Coturnix japonica: one gene and its partner. The protein of the gene in region 1 binds, or shares a complex with, the protein of each later gene. Links are inferred from orthologs where the notes say so. Each region holds a gene or a part of one and is shown in the gene's direction. Other genes may lie near its edges. The genes, in order: AMFR and UBE2G2.

Evidence for each region.
Region 2: the proteins of AMFR (region 1) and UBE2G2 are in contact, whole or in part, in an NMR structure (PDB 2LXP), measured with the Homo sapiens proteins. The link is inferred for Coturnix japonica from reciprocal best matches to the Homo sapiens genes AMFR and UBE2G2. Residues at the interface, in NP_001135.3 of Homo sapiens: Ser574, Ala575, Arg578, Gln579, Met581, Leu582, Arg585, Lys586, Leu589, Leu590, Ala593, Arg594, Arg596, Phe597, Leu598, Lys600; in NP_003334.2 of Homo sapiens: Tyr13, Leu16, Thr17, Pro20, Gly23, Ile24, Val25, Ala26, Gly27, Pro28, Met29, Asn30, Glu31, Glu38, Leu40, Met42, Glu45, Glu50, Phe51, Val53, Val159, Gln160, Leu163, Gly164, Leu165.

Annotation. Positions count from the first base shown.
Region 1 is NC_029526.1:500,331-503,744, reverse strand, and holds the end of AMFR (E3 ubiquitin-protein ligase AMFR), read left to right. Parts: intron 1-207; coding exon 208-392; intron 393-1,214; coding exon 1,215-1,362; 3' UTR 1,363-2,702; downstream 2,703-3,414. UniProt on the Homo sapiens protein: E3 ubiquitin-protein ligase that mediates the polyubiquitination of lysine and cysteine residues on target proteins, such as CD3D, CYP3A4, CFTR, INSIG1, SOAT2/ACAT2 and APOB for proteasomal degradation.
Region 2 is NC_029524.1:4,000,197-4,003,078, forward strand, and holds the end of UBE2G2 (ubiquitin-conjugating enzyme E2 G2), read left to right. Parts: intron 1-243; coding exon 244-356; 3' UTR 357-2,107; downstream 2,108-2,882. UniProt on the Homo sapiens protein: Accepts ubiquitin from the E1 complex and catalyzes its covalent attachment to other proteins. In vitro catalyzes 'Lys-48'-linked polyubiquitination. Involved in endoplasmic reticulum-associated degradation (ERAD).

The DNA of each region.
Region 1 (3,414 bases):
TTTCAGCTGGGGTTTTCAAAGCAGCCCAGGGGATGGGCTGCAGCGAGTGAAAGCCTCGTTTCTTTCAGAGCCTCAGAAAGTGGCAGCTCTTTGCAGCTTGTTAGTTTGATGTGAAGAAGCCCTGGTGGCAAATTTTGCACAGACTTGAGATGTTTAACTGAAAAAGAAAACTCCCTCTTTTCCTAACTTCCCCATTTTTTCTCTTAGACCAAAAGAGTGCCACTGGAACTCAACTCAAGACTGGAAGAAATGGGAGAACTGAGCGAAGTGGAGGCAGAACCCAGTGAAGCAGAAGATTTTGAGGCCAGGGGAAGTCGCTTTTCCAAGTCAGCTGATGAGAGGCAGCGCATGTTGGTTCAGCGGAAGGAGGACTTGTTGCAGCAAGCTCGAAAGTATGTTCCTTCCTACAGCTGCAGCCTGGCCACTCGGTTTTAATCTCCCAGAATGGCTGTTACATGGATTATGACTGAAAGACTGGGGTGGTGCAAAGAGTATTAGGAGGGATGAATACATTGCTGCAACACGCTCAGGTGCTCTTTAAGACAGACCTGTGCCTCTGATAAACCCAGTTCTGAAACAGCGTCTTGTGTTGCAGCGTGCACACAGCCTCTCAATTGGTGGATCAGAGCTCATAGGGTGATTTTTCCAGCTTCAGTGAGCTTTAGATTCAGCTTCTAGTAAGTGAGGAAATACTGCTTGTGCTGAGACTCCTAGTACACTTCTAGCCAACCTGCCTGCCTGGGTGTCAGCCTGTGCTGTGTGCTGCTGCAGCTGAGCTCACTGTCGGTCACCACTTTCCAAATACAGAACAAGAGCAGGTATTGAGCTGCGTAGGGCTGACAGACCAGAAGAGCTTCTGATGAGCAGGTCAGCACTGCCAAAGTGAGCGTGGCCAACTCTTACTCCCAGCTCAACTAGTATTGAATGTAGATATGGCACTTTGCAGCCCCAGTGCCCACCTGTCAGCGCCTTCCCTGTCCTCATGGAGGGAGCTGCAGGTTCTGCCTGCACTTCAGCATGGTGCAGTGGTGGGACCCAGTCAGTAACTCACCTCAGGTCTCAGAGTCTGAGTGCATCATTAGTGTGTCCATGCAAAGTATTTTCTAGCTTTGGATGCGCTTCAGCTCCTGCCTTGTTTCCTGAAAGCACCGACTGTTTTCTGGAGCCAAACAGATTGGGCTGCTCTCACTCATCTCCCTTTTCTCCTCTTGCAGGCGTTACTTGAACAAGACCTCAGATGAAGATCTGAGCACAGAGAAGCCCTCAGTGCCCGAGGGAACCTCCGCTGACCCAGTCACGCTGCGCCGCAGGACGCTGGCAGCCGCCGCCGAGCGGAGACTGCAGATGCAGCAGAACTCATAGCGCTCACTGCTCCTCCTTCCTCCTCCTCGTGAGCAATGTTGAATAAAAGAAATGAAACACAAAACCCCTGCATTTCTATACCAGCAGGAAAGTGTCACTTCAGAGTTGAGCGCTGCCGAGTGAGCTGGCTGCCGCTCTGCTGTATAAAGCATGTGGTCTAATCATGTTTGGACAGCTGACAAATTAACCTTTTTTGTAATGTTTTCTATGTGATGTTGATCCCCTCCACAGACAAAAGCAATCTGAACCACCAGTGCGATTTCTCTTTGCACGAGGCGTTGGCCTGACTGCACAACGGAAGCTGAGGGAGATGAGTTGGAATTGAGCAGCTGTGGGTGCAGGTCGGAGGGCATGGCTGCAAGAGGGGAAGGAAGCGCAGGGGTTGGCAGCAAACCCTGTGTTAGAGGAGCAGCTGCTCCCTGCTCACCTCCCGAGTGAAGGAGCTGCGTCGGTTGGCTGCGGTGCTGCTGGGAAGCCCGTTTGTAGGCGGGTGGAAGCTGTCTGGCAACGCAACATAGGAAAAAATGGAGTTGCTAATTGTGCAGTGCTGCTCTGATTCACAGCGATGCATACAGCACTTTGCTCACCGTTGCTGGGCTCTTGGCACTTGGCCTGTAGTTCTGCTCGCTCCCCAGGGCTGCGCTATCTTCCTTTTAGAGCCAGAAAGAAGTGAGAAGCGGGGAGGAGCAGAGTGGAGAATTGGGGGGGGCACAGGGGAGGCTGCAGCCCCCAGAATTCGGTGTTAAAAAGCTGATGGAGTCCCATTGAGGAGCCCACCTGTTTTGGACTGCGGAGCAGCACGGACTTGAAGGCTGGAGCTGGCTCTGATGTCTGATATCACGCTTTCTATGTCATTTTTAACCCCACAGCTCTGCCATTAGACAGAAGCACCGGGAGGGCAGGTGACCCTTGTGCACTGTGCAGCCCCATCTGCTCACCCGGCATCTTTCTAAGGGATTTCTGACCCCACGTACACCCGGAACCAGCACTGCTAAGCTTACAGAGTGGGATTTTACACAGCTGTGACTTGTTTAATTCCTGATGAGTGAATCCTTGTTCCGCCGCCCTTTAGAAGGAGCCCAGTATTATCTAGAATCATTGGTATCTGTTTTTTACTGTCGGTCTTTAGGGAGGTTTGAAGGTGGGTTTAAGGAAAGGCCTCGATGTTTAGGTGAGAGTAATTGATTGCAGTGAACCTTTCTGGGCAGCCTTACCTTGCGATGCTGTGTGTGAACTGCCAGGGGTTTTTCTTTTGAGATGATGGGGTTTGCTCAGAACCCGGCTGTTTGGTTTTACTGTTTAAAGAAATGAAATAAAATCTTGATCAGTGTTGGAAATTGTTTGCTGAGTCCTGTGTGTTCCTGTACGATGAGAATCCAAGTGTGGCGTGAAGGGGGAGATGGAAGAGGAACAATGTGTGGGGGGACTGGAAATAAAATGGGTTTGGGGCTGTTGGAGAGCCGGCTGGGGGGATGAGAGCTGATGGGTGTGGAGCGGGCAGAGCTTGGCTGGGGGGTGCGGAATCAGAATCACAGAGTGGTTTGAGTTGGATGGGACCTTGCAGGGTCTGCTCGCACTCCCTGCACTGAGCAGGGACACCCACAGCTCCAGCAGTGCATCCCCGCGCATCCCCGTCCCGCAGCGCAGCCGTTCCTGTGCCCCGAGCAGCCGCTGGGGGGCGGCCGTGCCCGCAGCTGGGCGCTCCCGCAGAGCCCGGCCGCGGTGATCGCGTGGGCTGAATCCCACCCTGAGCGAATTACGTGGAGGTGATAGAGACAGAAATGAGCCCTTGGGGTCCTCTAACGGGACAGTAATAGGGATGAGATGGAAATTAGGGAATAATAATCATTGAATGGCTTGAGTTAGACCTTGAAGCCCACCCTGCTGTGGGCTGGATGCCCCCTCAGCTCAGTCTGCCCAAAGCATCATCCAGCCCGGTCCCGAGCACCTCCATGGATGGGGCACCCACTGCTCTGTGGGCAGCAGCACCAGTACCTCACCACCCTCTGAGGGAAGGATTTCCTCCTCTCATCTCACCCACATCTCCCCTCT
Region 2 (2,882 bases), on another chromosome or scaffold:
CCTGTTTGGGTGGCCTGCTTTGTGAGGCTTTGTGTTTGTGAAGCCACAGAACCAGAACAAATACGTAGCAGAGAGCACTGTGCAGTTTTACATACGTTTGACAGCACAAACAGGGGAAGTATATACAGGGGAAGTATACCAGAGCCACGGGGAAGTGACAGTGCAGAGACGCTGCTGAAGAAATGAGCCGATGTTGCTCAGTCCCCTGCATGCACACAGACCTTTCCATCTCTTTCGTTTCAGAGCCAAACGATGAAAGCGGAGCCAATGTAGATGCCTCCAAGATGTGGCGAGAAGACAGAGAACAGTTTAACAGAATTGCCAAGCAGATTGTGCAGAAGTCACTTGGACTTTAAGCTCACAAAAAGACTGAAGTGTTTTGTATTTCTCTCCACCTGAAAAAGAGCAGTGCTCAGTGCTGGTACCAAAAAGGAAAACTTTGCTAAACTATCGATCTAGTTCTTATCCTTTGTTATTTATTTACCATCTCTTTTCTGCTTCCGCTGCTGCACAGAAGCCTCTAGTTTACTCACTGAATCGTATGGGGAAGGGATTTATTGCTAGGGAAAATAATGGGAGCAATGCTGTTTCAAAGGCTCTTTGTTGCTACCTCACTTCATGGTATGGAAAGCTTGGAGACTTTGCAATCTGCAGCCTGCTTCTGTCAATCTGCTATTGGAGAACAGCCCTGAGTTAGATCTCCTGCTGGAGGAATTAGATTTACATCGGTATAGGTAGCATTGCATTGGGAACACCAGTAGACAGAAAATAGTTATCAGTCTTATTATACCAGCTAAGTTAAGGACAGTGTTTGCAGTCAGAACCGATCTGAAGACTGGTTAACCAGAGAAAGTTATAAGACAGGGTTTTAGCCAGAATGGTTTAACATAGGAAGTGATTCAGCACCGTGTAACTTGAAGATCCATGTGGTCATTGCTAGCAGCTGGCTGGTACTCCTGCATTACACTGTGAATTTGTACTGAGCCTTTGAGTTAGGGTTTGCTTGGAAGAAAGCCCAAGAACTGCTTTACTGCTCCCTAAAGACATTCAGTGTAAGCTTTACATTCAATTGGAGGTGCAAGATGTAAAGGCTGGGTTCTTAAATACGTGGGTCAGGTTCACTATGAGCCCTAGGTATGTCATCTGCAGCCTGAAAATGCAGTGAGGTTGTTCCTGCTCCATGGGGAATGTAAGATATCTCTGCAGTTACGTCAGCTCTTCTCTCCTGTAGCCATTTGGATGCTCAGAAAATGAAGCATTGCTGGCCTGTACCATCACAGCCCAGGTCACCCAGTTTTCAGATGAAGGAGCCTTTGCCACCAATGGGTTTTGTAATATGGGCTGTAACGCTTCTTTATGCTGAATGCTATAAGTAGGAGTCACTCGGCTGTGTTCTCTGGATGGTAAGATGCTTATTTAAAATGGCAGAGCACTGTAGGCCACTTCTGGTGGCTGGAGATGACAATCTGCAGTGCTTTGTGAAGCTGCTAAGGAGCTGCTGGTGACCTTTGTGCTTTGCAAGTGAGTCTATTGTTTTTCTAGGAGCAGCTTGGGAGTGGAAGGAGCTGTGCTGTGCAGAAAGCTTTACAGAGGAGATTGTGTGCATGTGTGTGTGTTGAACTTGTCAGTATTTCCATCATGCTGCACATGCTGCTTAGTCACAGGCTGCAGATTGGTGGGTGCCACCTTTCTCATCTTTGAATTCGGAGCTTGTATTGCTTGTATTCCCTGTGGAAGTAATTCCTGTCACTTTGGTGGGTGGGTGTGAAGGGGACCCAGCTTAGCATGGGAGCAGAGATGACAAGATAGTATTGTACCTAACTAGTATTTCAAGGCGTACAGGAAAACGTAGCATCTGTATGCAAAATAAGGGTGGTTTGGGGGGTTGTAATATATGAAGCATAGCTCCTGCAATTACCTCAGCTGCTGTTGGAGAGCTGTGTGCACCGCAGAGCAAACACTACGTTCAGCAGACGTGGCAAAGTGGGGCTCTTTTGAAGTGCGGAGTATTTCATTCACGTGTGTTTGCTCATTATTTTATGGTGGGATTTAGTCTGTATTCTGAAAATAAAGTGATTATATATATTTTTTCCTTTCATAAAAGTAATCAAATGTATTTCAGTAAGTGCTTTTAAGGGGGAAACAGCCGGTCAAGAGTCCAGTTTCATTGTGGGCCAACGGAGTGGAAGAGTTTGTGGTGATGCAAGTAAAACACTGGGGATGCTTTAGAGATCTGGAAGACTTGATGCAGTTGTTGGGGCTTTCCAGGCGAGTATCTTGTTGTGATGGCAATCAGTTGATATTTCAAAGAAAACACTAAAAATCTGGCAATCAGCAGATGTGACTCAGTTTGCCTCTAACAAAAGTTTTGTGGTGATCTAAGGCTCTGGGCTTAGGAACGTCTTGTTGTGGCAACAGGTGAATCATGAGCTGCTGTGTATTGTTCCGAGTGCGCCGATACCAGATGGCAGATTGGAGAAGGACAATTAGTTGGAGATTCTCAGGAGGAATTGGACAGTGCCCCCAAATCAGAGCTCAGCACAGCTGGCACTGAGAGTTTCCATGCTCAGGCAGTTCTTTGTGGCTGGGGAACACCCCGGCCTTCCTGCTTGTAAAGCTGCCACTTGGATGCTGCAATAGCCTGCCCTGAAAGCTTAATCCTCTCCTTGAAAGAGTACTCACGCTAACAAGGTGTGTAATGGTAGCCAGTAGCAATAATTTTCTAAGCCGTTGCCTTTTTTCTGCCTGAAACAGTTACTATAAAACACATTCCTTGGGGAGTGTCAGGATGCTACAGGTGTTACGCATGCAAGCAAAGCATTAAAGGTTTAAAAAAAGGCACAAAACCTCTTTCTGTGGGTTATATTTGCCTTAGGCTTATA